Linked DNA regions of Alligator mississippiensis. The protein of the gene in region 1 purifies or fractionates together with the protein of each later gene. This does not show direct contact. Links are inferred from orthologs where the notes say so. Each region holds a gene or a part of one and is shown on either strand. Other genes may lie near its edges. The genes, in order: SLC12A2 and CLGN.

Evidence for each region.
Region 2: the proteins of SLC12A2 (region 1) and CLGN purify together in Homo sapiens (co-immunoprecipitation; 3 studies listed by BioGRID and IntAct, with this or other methods). This does not show direct contact. The link is inferred for Alligator mississippiensis from reciprocal best matches to the Homo sapiens genes SLC12A2 and CLGN.

The regions. Positions count from the first base shown.
Region 1 is NC_081826.1:215,903,184-215,911,658, reverse strand, and holds the start of SLC12A2 (solute carrier family 12 member 2), read left to right. Parts: upstream 1-4,955; 5' UTR 4,956-5,065; coding exon 5,066-5,560; intron 5,561-8,475. UniProt on the Homo sapiens protein: Cation-chloride cotransporter which mediates the electroneutral transport of chloride, potassium and/or sodium ions across the membrane. Plays a vital role in the regulation of ionic balance and cell volume.
Region 2 is NC_081825.1:104,596,403-104,604,095, reverse strand, and holds the start of CLGN (calmegin), read right to left. Parts: upstream 3,172-7,693; 5' UTR 3,082-3,171; exon of another isoform or gene 3,054-3,081; intron 1-3,053. UniProt on the Homo sapiens protein: Functions during spermatogenesis as a chaperone for a range of client proteins that are important for sperm adhesion onto the egg zona pellucida and for subsequent penetration of the zona pellucida.

The DNA.
Region 1 (8,475 bases):
CCTTGTTGCCCTTCTTTGGACCTTCTCTAGTACTCCAATATTCCTTTTGAGGTGTGAGGACCAGAACTGGGCACAGTATTCAAGGTATGGCTGCACCGTGGATTTATAAAGGGGCAAAATGATACTATCTGTTTTGGTTACTATTCCCTTCTTAATAATCCCTAACATTTTGTTTTGCCTTTTTGATGGCTGCTAAACATTGACCCGGTGTTTTTAGTGAATTGTCCACAATGACCCCAGATCTCTTTTCTGTGTAGTAACAGCTAATGTAGAGTCCATCATAGTGTAAGTATAGTTTGGGTTACTTTGCCCAGGTGCATCAATTTCTAATTATTTGCATTGAATTGCATCTGCCATTTCGTTGCTCATTTGTTCAATCATGCCAGCTTCTTTTGTAGTTCCTCACCATCCACCTTGGTGTTTACCACTTTGCTTAATTTGGTGTCATGAGCAAATTTCGCCACCACACTACTCACCCCCTTTTCCAGATCATTTATGAATATCTTAAACAGCACTGGTTCCAACAGAGACACCCCCCCCACCCCCCCCCCCCGCAGGAACCCCACTGTTTACTTCTTTCCATCCTGAAACCTGACCATTTACACTCACTCTTTGCTTTCTTTGAGCCAATTTCTAATCCACAAGTGGACATTCCCTGTAATCCTGTGATTTAAAGAGCCTCTGATGGGGGACCTTGTCAAAAGCTTTTTGGAAGTCCAAATATATTGTCAACTCGATTATCCCAATCCACTGCTTACTGACATCCTCAAAAAACTATAGTAAGTTGGTGAGGCATGATTTCCCTTTGAAAACGCCATGGTGATTTCTCCCCAGGAAGTCACGTTCATCCATGTGCTGAACAATTCTTTCTGTCATTATTTTTTCTACCAGTTTTCCAGGGACAGTAGTTAAGTTCACTGGCCTGTAGTTCCCTGTGTCCCCTCTGACACCTTTTATAAATATGGGATTCACGCTGGTAACCCTCCAGTCCTCTGGTACCAAGGTTGTTTTTAGTGGTAAATTGCACACAACAATTAGGAGTTCAGCAACTTCCGATCTGAGCTCCTTCAGGACCGCAAGGAGAATGCCATCAGGTCCTAGTGACTTGCTACTATTTAATTTATCAATATGCTCTATGACCTCATCTACTGAAACCTCAACTTGGGTCATCTCCATTAACTTGTATACTCAAATTCTTTCTTAGTTTGTCCTTTTACAGTTTTACATTTGCTTTGCCAGTGTTTATGCCCTTTCTTATCTTCCCCATGAGGATTTGACTTCCACTTTTTGAAAGAAGCCTTTTTTCTGCGTATTGCCTCTGCAACTATGCCAGAAAACCATACTGGCTTTCTTTTGCTTTGCTTTCCATTTCTTTGATTTGTAATATGAATTTGCTTTGTGCCTCCTATATGGTGTTCTTAAGCAGTTCCCATGCTGCCTGCAAGTTTTTCACTTCTTTAGGGGCCTCTTTTAACTTCCGGCTAAGTAGCTTCCTCATTTTGTTGTAGTCTCTTTTTAAAATTAAATGCCACTGTGGTAGGTTTTCTTGTCTCTCTTCTTACATGGCTGCCAAATCCAATTGCATTGTGGTCACTTTTGCCAAGCATCTCAGTAATACTTGCCTTTTGCACCAAATCCTGTGCACTACCTAGCACTAGCCCAAAAATTACCTTTTTCCTCTTTTAGGTTCCAGTACTAACTGTTCCAAGAAGCAGTCTTTTATAACATCAAGAAATTTGGTTTCTGCATCCTGGCCAGGTGTTAGACTGACCCAGTCTATTTGTCTAGTTGAAGCCCCCCATTATTACTGCATTTTCTGCTGTTGCAGCAGCTCAACTCCCTTAGCATTTCCAGCTCATTACTGCTGTCTTGGTCTGGGGGTCAGTAGTATACCCCTAGACATACTTTTTTTTCTATTTAAATCCAGGATTTCTATCCACAAAGATTCTATAGTCCCTCTCATATCGGGTGAAAAATCTAACCTATTTGATTTGATGCAGTCCTTGATGTAGAGTGCCACTTCCCTACCAGTATGACCTACTCTATGGTTCCTGTATAATCTGTATCCTGATATTACAGCATCCCATTGATTTTCCTCGTTCCATCATGTTTCAGAGATATCTGTTATGTCAATATCATTATTTACTGCTAAGCAGTCAAATTCCCCCACCTCTGATCTTAGACTTCTAGCATTAGTATACAATCACCTGTACTTTTTATTGTTGCCTGGCTGGTTACTTGTGTGTCGCCTTTTATTCCCTAAAGTTAACTTGTGCTTGTCTTCACCCTATTTCTTATCCCCACTTTTTATGGTGTTAACCCTGTAGCATGCGTCAGTCTGAATGCAGTTCTGCATCTGCCAGCTCTCCTCCCATGTTGAGTTTAAAAGCTGCTCTACCACCTCTTTAATGTTACTTGCCAGCAGTTTGGTACCATTTTGGCTCAGATGGAGACCATCCCTTCTGTACAGGCTCCCCCTGTTCTAAAAGGTCACCCAGTTCCCAATTAACCTAAACCCTTCTTCCCTGCACTGTTGTCTCAGTCATATATCGAGCCTCTGGAGCATTGCCTGTCTATCTGGTTCTGCATGTGGCACTGGAAGCATTTCAGAGAATGCTATCATAGTGGTCCTGGAGTTACACCACCTACCTAGCAGACTAAATTAAGCTTCCAGGACCTACCTGCTACCCTTACCTACATGGACCATGACCACTGGCTCTTCTCCAACCCTCCCTAGCAGTTTATCTACACATCTTGAGAGGTCTGTTACCTTTGCACCTGGCAGGTAAGTCACCATGCAATCCTCTTGGAGGTCACAAACCTGGTTATGTGCTTAATAACTGAATCCCCTACTACCAACTCCTGTCTCCTATCCTGTGGAGTTCCCTCCCTTGGAGGAATACCCGTGGTGCAAGAGGATGCTGTAACATCAGCTGGAAGGTGAGTCCCATCTAAGACAGTTTCTCTTCTTCCCAGCTTCATGCCCTCAATCCCTGATGCATTCATCTTCCTCAGCAGCATGGCACTTGCTACAGTGGAGGTGGGACTCCCCTGCAGGTGGGAAGGCTTGGCAGAGTGGACAGCTGCATGCAGCTGGGTCTAGCTTGGCAGGGGTTGTTGCAGCAAAGGTATGTCCCTGAAAGCTGCATTTATGAACCTCTCTGCCTCCTGTAGCTGCTCCAGTTATGCCACCCTAACCTGGAGAGAATGCACTTGCTCTCTCAGAGCCAGTCCTAGCACCAGGTGCGCACATATGGAACTTGCCCCCTGGCAAGTAATCATACACATTGCACCTGGTGCAATAAACTGGGTAGCCCCTGCCCTGCTGCTGGACTTCTACCTGCATACTTTTTAAAAGTGTTGCACTTAATTGCTTCAATATTTCTTTCCTTCCATGCGTGGGACAACGAGAAGGCTAATGATCAGCACGCAGTGATGCAGGGGAGGTGGAAGGGTAAGAAGTGGTACCTGCCTGGGAGGGTCAGGCAGATGAGGGAAGCCCAACAGATGCCCGGGATAGTTTGAGAGCTGCTGAAGGGGGACACTGGGAGTGTGCTGGAGTAAATGGAAAGAGCTGGTGTTATTATGACAAGGAAAGCAAGCAAGATAGGTAATCTTCAATGCTGACTCTAGGGTAGGCCTGGTGCACTCTTCTCCTTAGGTAGTTATCCCCAAATGTCTGCTATGTGCATGACACTCAGCTTTGTACGGACTCATCTCCTCTCCACTAATTTCTCCAGTTCCAATGGTTTTTCAGGCAACTTCTGAACAGCAAGTTTTAGGGCAGTGGTTCCCAACCTTTTTAGACTTGAGGCACCCCTCATTAGACTCAAGGCATCTATTAAAAAAAATGTATTCTAGTGCTTGCCTCCTTGCGGCGGGGGGGGGGATGGGCAGTGGAACAGCCAGGCAGGGACTGAGCCTGAGCCGGTGCTTTATTTCCTCACACCTCAGGGCACTCTTCAAAAGATCTTGCAGCACCTGTAAGGGCCCTAGCACCTTGGTTGAGAATCACTGGTTTAGGCTAGTGGTGCCCAACCTTTTCACTCTGTCCCAGATGCGCGGTGCCAGATTCTTCTGTGGCCTGGATCCAGCTGATGGGCCTGATCTGGCTGCGAGGCCCCATCCTTCATCCAGATGCCTGGGGGCAGGGAGAAGTGGCCCTAATTTGGACGCCTTGGGTGGAACAGCCCCAATCCTGACATGGAGCTGGGGTGGGGGGACCATCTTGGTCCTCCTACTGATGCTCAGGGTCGGGGTGGGATGAGGCAGGGCAGGGAAGGACAGCCTTGATCTGGACACACTGGATAGTGGAAGATGGACTGGCTCCCATCTGGACAAAGCAGCCCAGCTCCAATCTGGAGGTGGGGGGAGACAGGGAGTAGAAGGAGCAGTGTGGCCAGATCCAGATGTGGAAGGGGGGTTGGGGGATGAGGCCTGTTCCTGATCCCCCTTTGCTGCAACAACCCCTACCAAACTATACCCTGCTGCATGCAGCTGCCCCCTCTGCCAAGCTTTCCCACATGCAGGGGAGTCCGCTTGTCACAGATCTGGCCCGCGGGCCGGAGGGTCGGGTGCTCCCGGCTACATGGGGCCTGCTGGGTGGCAGTAAGAACCGGGGCGGGGCGGGGAGGGGCAAAGGCAAGCAGGGACAGGTGCCCCATCCCCGCCTCAGCCTCAACCGGCCCGAGGAGGCTCGCACCCAGCATCTCCTCACGAGCTCCCCATCCCTCCCCCCAGCCACGCGCGGTCCAGCTCCTCTCGCGAGATCTCGGGCCCCGAAGCACCCGGCAACTTTTCAAACGCGGCCAGCGGAGAAGGCAGGAGGCGGCGTCACCCCCCTCCCCGCGCCCCCCCGGCCCTGGGGCGGCCTGCGGGCTCCGCCCCTCCCCCAGCGAGGCGCGGCCGTTGCTGCAGCGCGGCGGGGCGGGGCGGGGCGGGAGCGGGAGGCGGGCGCGGCGGCGCGTTGCCCCGGCCCCGGCGCGGCGCCAGCCCCGGGCGCTGGTTGGCGGTTTAAAGCAGCCGGGCCGCGCGGGGCTCGCGAGCAGCAGCCGCAGCCACAGCCATGGAGGGCGAGCAGCCGGCGCCATCGCGGCACAAGGCGGCGGAGCAGCAGCACGATGAGGCGGCGGCGGGCGGCGACGCTCTGGGCCGGCCGCTGGCCCCGACCGCCAGCCAGAGCCGCTTCCAGGTGGACCTGGTGGCGGAGGGCGGCGGCGGGCGGGCGCCGGGCCGGGGCAGCGAGGACTCGGAGGCCAAGGGCCGGTTCCGGGTGAACTTCGTGGATCCGTCGGCCGAGAGCCCGGGGGAGCCCGAGGCGCCGGGCTACCCCAACGGCGGCGACACGGTGCGCAGCGAGGGCAGCCTGGTGTCGGGCGGCGCCGGCGGGGCCCCGCACTACTGCTACGACACGCACACCAACACCTACTACCTGCGCACCTTCGGCCACAACACCATGGACGCCGTACCCCGCATCGACCACTACCGCCACACGGCTGCCGAGCTGGGCGAGAAGCTCATCCGGCCCAGCCTGGCCGAGCTACACGACGAGCTGGACAAGGTGAGGCAGCCCCGGGGCCGGGGCGCTTGGCAGGCGCTTGCCTCCGCGTGGCGAGGCGGCGTGGGGCCGGCTGAGTGCATCCCTCATCCTGCCCTTCCCGGCTGCAAGGGACCAGCGGCGGCCTGTCCGGCCCCTCGTTTTCCTTGAGACAGAGAGATGCAGCCACTGCCGAGCCGGCAGAAGACTTGGCAGCTTCCCTGGGCATCATGTTCCTCGTCCTGCTGCTCTTGCGGCTTCATGCATCCCTAGCCCTCCCTTTCCAGGCTGGAAGAGACCTGCAGGGTCTTGTCCAGCCCGGTAGGCGCGCACTGCCTTTCCCCAAGGCAGAGAGATGCAGCCCCGGCTGAACTGGCAGATTTTGCAGGTTCCCTCTGCATCTTGTTCCTTTCCTGCTGCTCCTGCAGTTCCTGACCTGGGGAGGCAGGGGGGAGCTGTCATGGGGGCCGCAGACTCGGCTTCGTGCATCCCTCATCCTCCCTTTCCAGCTGGAAGGGACTTGCATGGTCTTGTCCAGCCTAGTAGGCACACACTGGCTTTTTCCCCAAGGCAGAGAGATGCAGCCGTTTCTGAACCGGCAGAAGATTTCACAGCTTCCCTCAGCATCTTGCTGCTTGTCCTACTGCTCTCACAGTTACCCAGTCTTGACAGGCACTTGGATCCACATGGGGAGGCAGGAGGGAGCTGTGATGGGGCTGGGTGCACAGACCGCAGCATTGTGCATCCCTCATCCTCCCCTTCCAGGCTGGAAGGGACCCACAGGGTCTTGTTCAGCCCCTTGCTTTCCCCAAGGCAGACAGATGCAGCTGCTACTGAACCGGCAGAAGATTTTGCAGGTTCCCTTGGCATCTTGTTCCTTGTTCTGCTGCTCTCACAGTTACCAAGGGGTTTTTTTTTTTTCTTTTCCCCCCTGAGATCGGATCTCAATACGCTTGTCTGTAGCTCAGTGCTGCTGCAGAGGGCAACATCCCTGAAATGAGTGGAGTTGCTGAGAGGGAATTGGGCTCAAATTTTGCATTGTATTATTAGCATTATATACACACGCAGGTGACTGGTGGTGGGGAGGTGCTCAGGAAGCGGGAAGGCTTGAGCAGGCAACTTCCTCTGGCCTGTCAGCCCTCCTCGCAAGGGTTCCTGCACCCCCCCTCCTGCCAGTGCTGCCCTACTGAGCTCTGGACTGCTCCTGGGAGGAGGGAGAAGGCTGCCTTGCTGTGGTCCATCTGTCCCTTGCTTGCCTCATTCCCATTCATCATTAAGCCCTTGGAGCTGTGTCGCTGCCAGCTTCCTCTGCTTTAGAGCAGCCGGCATGTTGGTGGCAAATGACGTTAAAAGGGTCATGCAGCATGCAGCTCTGCTTAACAGATGCTCTAATTCACATAGGAATTAAATTTGTTCTGGCTGTGATAGAGGTCAGAGCCAGTATACATTTATGGGGTCCCCCCGGTGCCTTTTTCTGGGCAAATGGATGCTTGGTGTATGGATCTGGTCTAGATGTTTCTTGGCTTTGGAAGCTAAGACTACTTTTGCTCTGGATCACAACTGCAACGTTAGCATTATGTATTGTTAAAATGCCTTGGATGGAGGGTAGTGGGGGAAGGAAGTCTTAGGTTTCTTAATCTCTTTTTCCATTCTTCAAGTGCCCTGTATTAGCAGCCGTCTTTCTAATAGTGAATTACTCGAGACGAAATAATGCTTTCCTTTGTACTGGTAATTGATTCATACCACATAGCTATAGCTATCTCTATTCTCTTTATCTATATATTTCTAATTGAATTCTTACCTGACTTCCTTTTAAGGCAGGGTTCTCCATTGCCTTAAGTTTAATGCCTCTTTGAGTTGTGATGCTAGTTCATTTAACCTGTATTGCTGATCAGTTTCTGAATTCTGCAGGTTTGTGCCCTTCACTGCAGACCTTTGCAGGAGTTGAGAACAACACGCAGGCAAGATTGTATGAGGCATAGGTCTGGTGGAAACTATTGCTGAAGTTTGAAAAATGTCAAGGCAAGAGAAGGCATGATATCCAGTAGTTCCTAGGAATGAAATCTTGATACACTTCCCTCACTCCTCCTCTCCTGTCTGCTGGCCCCCCCCCCCCCCCCCCAATTTCTCTACTTTTGGAATCCAGGTAAATTTTGCTATTGCCTTTAGGAGGCTGTGCTTTGGGGGGAAGGTGTCAAGATCTCAGCTTGACATGTTTCCTACCCATAGTGCTAAATGTTGGGTAGTTTATAACAGGTTTGAATGCGATTCCTGTTTTAACAAATGTAATGTTAAAACCTACAATTAAAGTCCATTTATATGGAAATACTTTGTGCTCCTTTGAAATGCTGTAGGTGTAATACATCAACTACATAAAAAATCCTTAAACTGTTTTTCATAATTGGTCTGTTTTAGTTTCTCCTGTCTTTCCTTACTACGTACATCATTCTTATAAGCTGATTATCTAGAAACAGTGAGACATTGATAATTTTCTTCTTTTTTGTGGCTTTCCATACATACTGAAATATAATGTGTGTGTTATTTTTTATTATATAACACACACGTGTGTGTGTGTGTGTGCGTGTGTGTGAGAAAATTAGCAACATCTCACTGTTTCTAAATAATCGGGTATATTCTTCTTTTTTGCAAGCTAAGGTAAATGACACCTTGGAGATACGGAACTGACAGCAGCACTCGGAACTGGGCTTTACAGATAGGATCGCTCTCTCTTTTTTTAAAAAGAGTATAGTGATTGAAGAAACTGCTTTGTTCTCAGTCAACCACCCCATGACCTTTTGGTATTCTGAAACTACATCAGTTTTAAACAGCCACAACATCTTAAACACTTCAACAGGAAACCTAAGTCAAATTCTGTTTTGAGTTGTCACCCTGACTGGGTGGTGGGTAAGAAGGGGAGGGGATGTAGGAGCAGTGTGTGG
Region 2 (7,693 bases), on another chromosome or scaffold:
TATCTGCAACTACCTTCCAGAGACTTTGATTGAGGAAGCCTATAATCCTGTTTGAGCAGAACTGGAACAGAGCATAAAGCCCCTACAGATGTTATATTTGCTGCATATCGTATGCAAACGTTGCATGACAAATCATAACATGCCAACTGGCCACACAATATTGCAGGATACTTCTGCACCACAAGATGTTTCTGCTTCAACAGCCAACTTCTTTGTTGCCGATTCACCAATTTTATGCAAGGATAAACCTGGCACATTATAATTTGTTGTGCAATACTGTACATAACACGTGACAAAAGTAACGTCAGTCATGGGTCTAAGTGGTTAAACCACGGGGCAGACTCAGAAGGACAGTGAGTTGTAGAGAGGACAGTAGGATCTAAGGCATACAAAAAACTAGAACTCTTGGTTCCAAAATGATACCTTTTATTAGACCAACTGGAAAATGGAAAGAAAACTGTCCTTTTCTGCAAGCTTTTGGGATCAAAGTCCCTTTGTCAGGATCTGGAAAAAGTACACCCCTGAAAAGTACATGCTCCAGGAGGCAGGGTGCTTTAATTAGAATGGCTCCAAGAGCCGCTCTAATCAAAGCTCCCGGATCACAACATGCATCAGCATCTCTGTGCTTAAAATGGCAGTGAGGGCACTTCAACTAAAGCTTGTCTTAAAGCTTTAGTTAAAGCACCCCACTGCCATTTTTCCATGCGAGGACACTGATACACATGATGCTGGAGTCTACTGGAGCACGGTAATTACCACACTTCAGCAGACTCAATTAATCGAGTCTGCCCCAAACGCACTGTAATTACAACACATCAGAGCAGCCTTAATGCACATGTATAGGTGCCCTAACATTCTACACAAGCAGCCCTAAACATTATTTTTATGGTTAACTTCAGCTTTGGACGCATTATTTACCCACCTAACAGGAAGTGAAACTTGGATTTTTGTTTTAGATTACATTTATACTTACAGTAAACTTGCTCTGGCTAACAAAAGCTTTAAGAGAAAACTATGAACCTATCCAGACAACTTGACTGAACTAATCTCACCTAGATAAGAGCAAATTCTAATGGAAAGCAGGGCAACTCCTACAGTTCTCTTCTCTAGAGTGGGTCCCTAGGATACATCTATACCACCTCCAAAGCAATCCCAAGAGTATCAGTGAGAAATAAGCCATACTTACCTATGCCCAGTATATATACATGCAAGCCCATAAATTACGTAGCACAGATGCCTCAGAAATAGTCCTAAGCACAAGTCCCAGCACCATACTCAGGCTGTTTTAAGAAGGTCTAAGTGTGGCACTATGGCATATGCTCAGGGCCACTCCTGAGCCATGTATGTGACACAGTTTGTGGGCTTGGGTGCACACAGGGCAGCGACCATGCTCACTGTTAAAGCAGCACAGAAATACCATTAAACCCTAGTATCCTTCAACCCTCAGTTTACAAGACTGCTAGCATTGTCCTTTTTTAGCTGAGCAGCTAAACAAAATGTGGGCCTTGTTAATTATTCCAATGAGGTGTAGTGATTGGTAGCAGAATCAGGTTTCTTTCATGTACTTCTATTTACAAGAATGCAATCAAATCTTTTCCAAGCACAGGAAAAAAAAATCCAAACCACCAGAGCCTTCTTGCTCACAGCTCTAAAACTCTTCCAGCCTACTCCCAAGCCCACAAGACCACTCTCTAGGGGTCTCCCAGGGTTACACACAATGCCCTTCAGACTACATCCACACTTCCTCCTTCCGTCTCGGCTTATGCACCAGCTCACTCTTACTCCACCTGAGCTTCCATCCATCCACTGGCACCTTCTCTTTGTTCCCAAATTAATACCCAGGAACAGCTACTTCACTGGCATTTCCCTTTCTGAGTGCCTGTGGCAGAAACACGTGCTTCACCTTCTCTTGCTGCAATCTCCAATGAAGAATGGAGTGAAACACTATGCTCCTTGTCAAGAAAAAACATGAGCTTTACTTCAGCACTGCCTGGTCTGGCAGCCCCTCTTCATGAGGCCAGCTCTGGTCACTGGGTTTCTAAAGCTGCACCACGGAAGCCCCCAAACTAAGCACAGACAGTCAAAAAGCCCGAGGCTGAATCAATTCAACTTTGCGGCTTAGCCTAAGCTGTGTAGGTTGAACTGATAAGCAGGTGAACAGACATTCACTTTTGATTCTGGAAATGCATCCACATGCCTGCAGTGTCCCAGGCCACAGGCTGGGGGGGGGCCTAAAGCATGCCTCCCTGCTCCACTGGAGCAGACAGCTTAGGCCAATGCTAGCCCGCCCACCCTGTGAGGTGGGGTTTGTGAGGGAGGTGCAGAGCACCCCAGGATGCTGGGGGACCATGAGTTAACTTGAATCTGGATAACAACAAGGATCCAACACTCGCACAAAGTGCTGGAATGAAGCAGAGCTTCTGGGCCCACCACAGACAAGCTCATCTGGAGGGCAAGGCATCAGGAGGATGCTAGAGCCAGGGCTCCTCCTCCCTCCCCGGGGGACGGATTGTATCTGATCTCATCGCTTAGCAGCGGGGACAGGAGAAGCGATGGGCTCGAATTAACCCTCTGCACTCCCCAGCCCACGAGAGCTGCTCCTCAGCCGGGAATTAGGGGGGTCCTGCTTATGCCCCTCACGAGAAGTAGCTAGTCACTGCTGAGCGCGAAGGCTCTTCCCACTATAGGGGCGGGGGGCGGAAGCGGGGGCCGGGTCCTGCGCGAGCCCCCACCGCGGGGGGGGGCGGGCTCAGAACGCTCAGGGCCGCGGCGTTCGAACTGCCCCAACGGCCGTGCCGCACACCAGCCCCCGCTTCAGGGGGGCGGGCTCACAACGCTCTGGGCCACCCCGTTCCAACGGCTCCCAACGGTCGCACCACGTAACCCCCGCCGAAGGGGAATGGGGAGAGGGAGGGGCGGCCGCCTCCCGCTGGGATTAAGGCCTCTACGCAAACGTCCCCGTGAGGGTGGTCCTCCTGCCTCTGCCCGCGTGCCCCTTTCACACGGCGTCGCGCCCCCTCCCCCCACCTCAGCCCGGGTCCGCGCGGATTTACCGGCGAACCAGTCCCGCAAGCCGCTCACTGGCAAAGCCCGGCTGCTTTTCCTCAGCGCGAACCGCGCATGCGCCACCTGTCCAAAGCTCCGAGGGATGCTGCAGCCGAGTAGCAGGTACTCTCTGTGGCGCGCGCGCGCCTCCCCACCCGAGCCAATCAGACGACTCGGTAGGGCGAAGCCGTAGCCAATCCGCCTCCGGCACTGACAGGCCGAGCGAATCGGAACGCAGGCGCACGGGGAGGTGGGAGAACTCGCGCCAATCAAAGGGCAGCGTGGCGTCTAGCCGCGGCCAATCGCGGCTCAGTCCGCAGCTGTCAGAACGCGAGGCGTGCTGAGCGAGCTAATTGTGGGCCGGCGTCTCTGCAAGCGCAGAGATTCAGTCAAGTTCTAGGCCAGGCTTGTTCAAGCCATTTTATTTGGCCCGAGGCGGCGGCGGGGCCGCGGCGAGGCGGGCAGGGCCGGCCCCAGCCGGCAGCAAAGAGAAGGGAGCTGCTTACCCCCGCGGGGCCGGGGGGATCCGCCCCATGCGGAGGCCAAGCAGCCGCCGTTGCCACTGCCGGCCCACGCCTGCCTCGTCACCCGCCCGCTTCAAGCCAGCCCCGCTGCCCTGCCCTGCCCTGCCCTGCCCCACAGCAAGGCGGCGCCTGCTCCCCCGACGAGCTCTTCCCCCCCCCCACCGCGCTGCTGCTCTCCGGCCCGGCCGCCAGCTCGCGAGGCCCTGAGGGGGCCGCTTCTCACGTGCTGCTGGGGACTGGAGGAACCCGGCCGGGTCTGCATCGGCCAGCAGAAGCGGTGGCGGAGCCGTGTACTGCTCGGGACGGGACGAGCCTGCGCCGGTCAGTCCCGAGCGGCACACGGCTCCACCACCGCTTCTGCTGGCCGATGCAGACCTGGCCGGCCTCCTCCTTGTGGTAAAAATACAGCATAATCTATACACCTTGCTTTTGTAATTGCTTATGCACTCCGCATGTTTTCACTCTCTCTTCCACACTTATCACTAAGACAAGTAGACTAACAATTGATTTACGAATAGAACTAAAATTCTGCAGACGGAGCCAGGAACGGATGCAATAAATAACTCCTTACAAGAGATAAGCGAAGAGTGACAGGGAAAAATGTTGATGCTAAGAAATTTTACCCTGACCGAAGGATGACCAGAGGAGCTTAAGAACTGCCCCTGGGAGGGGATTTAAGATGTAAATGAGACATGTATGTAAACCGTCATAGAACATGTAACTGCTAGACATACGATGCAAGACGTAATGCTAAGTCTGCCAATAATTGCACGATACGTTGAAATCTATTGTTTACCTTGGCTATAAAAAGAAGTTGCAGACACAATTTGTGGTCGACTCTGATTTGAGCTCAGCTCCTGGGTCAATCTGTTTGCAAACAATAAATCTGAAATTGGACCTAGCCTGTGTGTGTGACTCTCTCCTGGGGTGGATTGGACAAGCCTCCAGGGGCATGAAACTAGCCGTTTGTGCAACATCCTGTCCCCAGCAGCACATGGGAAGCTGGCTTCAGCTGCATGCTGCTTTTCCTGGCCGGTGCAGACCCGGTTCTGCCCAGGCCAGTCCTGCAGCACCATATCAACCCAGGCATGGCACTGGCAGGCCAGGCAGGCCCCAGGTTAACCCTGGCCTGGCCCCTGACTTCTCCAGCACCAGGTCAACCCGGTTGTAGCCAAGCGGCTCCTGCAGCACCATGTCAACCTGGGCACGCATGCCATATCAACCAGCACCATGTCAACCTCTGCAACTTCACTGGTGTCAAAGGTCACGTGACATCACTTCCTGATATGATACCACTTCCTGTGATGTCTTTGAATCTGGCTGGCCGGCCCACTGGGTGATAAAAAGTTTGTGAGCAGCCTCACATTCAAAACCCCCTGATCTAGGCTATGAATGGGCTGGACCCGCTATCGCTCCCTGCTTGGCCCTCAGGATTTCAATGAGTCCCCCTGCTGCAGGCTGCTGCCTGGGGGAAGCTCCACCTTACACCAGCGGGGCTCAGGCCTTCTACACTGGAGGCTTCCCCTTCCCCCCCCGCCCAATCAGGCTTGGGAACTGAGCAGCCCCCAGTTCAAAAAGGAACTGGTTGAGTGCAGTGCTTACCTCCTGGGACAGGCTGGGCACTGGGTGGGGGGAGGAAGGGGAGCAGCCAGGTAGGGACTGAGCCTGAATCTGAGCCTGCAATTTTATCTTATCACCTCACACCTTGCAGCACTCTTCAAAGGACCTCACAGCACCCCTGGGTGCCCCAGCCCCCTGGTTGAGAATCACCGTACTGCATTTGAGACCATCCTCAGGACACTTGACATGTGGGCCTCTACACCTTGAGGCTCGCTAGTTCTAGCTGAGTGCTCTTTGAGAGTCTCAAAGTGACACCACTTGAGGCACAGGTTAATCCAAGCCCACAGAACAGGACAGCCGGAGACATTCAAGATACAGATGGAATATGTAATTCGTTTTGCTTATTGTATAAAAAGATTTGGAAAGCAGAGGAATTTTGTAGTGGCCTGGGGGGAGTCTGTGTGGTGGTGTGCTGAGTGCCTTGTCACAAGTACAAATGCCTTAGGTCCTGGTCTGATGTACTTGTTAGGCCAAAATGTGTTAGGGCTGTGCTTGTAGACAATAAAACTGGCCAAATCTTTGCCACCGAACTAAGCCTGTGGTCTTTCTTTAAGGCAAGATTAGTGTTGAGATCTCCTGGCTGTGACTTGCAGACACTGCAGTTCCTGAGACTTCAATACTGAGAACATATCAATAACACCCACGAGGATGACAGCAACAGCGACACCAATAACCCCAGACAACACTGATTTCTAACACTATATTTCATTTTCTTGCTTAATATTCATGAAGCTTTTGATACATTTTGTGAAACTAAGGGAATTCCCAGCCTTAAACCTACTTAGAAAATTATTTAAGACCATTAGAATAATTGATAAAAACTGTTAACAGTAAAAACCATTGTAATGATGTAACTCTAGCAAATTGCATAAAACTTCAACTAGAACAACAAATTCCAAGAGGGAAGACTTTGGGGGAGACACCAGAACATGCATCTACCCTGCATGTCTATAAATAGTTTTTAATGATGAATCAATTTAGTTGTATGACTGTTATTACCCAGAACACTGTACATGAAACATGATGGAAATCATCAGTTTAGTAAAATTCACAGTAAAGAAGAAAGTGTGATTAAAAAGAACTGAAAGCAGCAATGAAAAACAAATATAAAGTAGCTGGGGAATTCAGATATTCAAGAATCCTAGTATTCAAGCCAAAAACCCTTGTACAAGCATGCACATTAGAATAAAACTTGTGGGCAGAGCTGAACATGCAAGGTAATAGATATGGAAAAGTGAAGATACCGGGTTTTGTGGTCTCCTTTAGGGAAAAATAAGAATGAGAATATTATAATGTGCTACAGTAGTTCATCCCAGCTTCTAAAGCAAAAGGTCCTAGCATTACACAGAAGTCAGGATCTAACAAAGAAGACAAGAACAAGAGGTGTGCTTGAGATACCAGGCTATGGACAAAGTCTGTAGTCAGATGCCAAGTCAAGTCTACAGCAAGAGACTGGAATGCAGGAGAGACAAAGCAGGGTCTGGTGTCAAGGACCAGAAACCAAGGGATCCTGGCAGGAAGCAAGGCAAGGCGATGCTAACAGGCCTGGAGCACTTACAGACAGAAATCTCAGTATGGTGTGTACTAAAGGGCAGGTGCTAGAGCAGTCCCTTAAATGAGGAACTGGAGCCCTAGAGTTTGCTAAAAAAAGGTTGTCTTGCAACCCACCAATGATAGCTAGCTTGTTAAATTGAGGAACAGAGATTTAACTATTAGAAGAAAATAAGTGACACTTGCCAGTTAACTTGAATCTGGATAACAACAAGGATCCAACACTTGCACAAAGTGCTGGAATGAAGCAGAGCTTCTCGGCCCACCACAGACAAGCTCATCTGGAGGGCAAGGCATCAGGAGGATGCTAGAGCCAGGGCTCCTTCACCCTGTGAAGAAGCAGAGTGAATTAGCCCACGTGGAGGTCTGTGCTGTTGCAGGTAGGTTGCTTCCAGAGCTAACTTTTGAAGCTAGATCAGGTATCTGTACCCTATGCCATGCGCAACCTAAACATACTACTGATATATTCTGTGGGTAAGAAAAAAAAGTCCCTTCAGATAAACTGAGGATCCATATTGACCCCGAATTACTGAACAGAGCATTGAAAAGATGTCTGTCACTACTCATTATCAAAAGATTGTGGATGTATTACCCTATTTGCACAGGATAAAAGCATTGCTTGTTTTGCCATTAAGAATTAGTCTTGGCTTATTAAGATAACTGAACAATCCAACCACTTAACATCTACCACATCTTTGGGCAGGAATACCTGTAAATAGCAGCCTGACCCTTGAGATGTTTCAGTAGAGAGACTAAGATGGGTACAGAAGGGAGATCCAGGCACCAATGTTATATGTAGTGATAGTCTCACTGTAGAAGGAGGTGACAATCCATGACAATGGAATGAAGCTGTGTCAACAGCTAAACAGGTGGTGGGAGTGGAATATTTAGCTTAAAAGAGACAAGATGAAGTTCAGGAGAACTGAGGTCCTCTACTTACAATATCTGTTGAC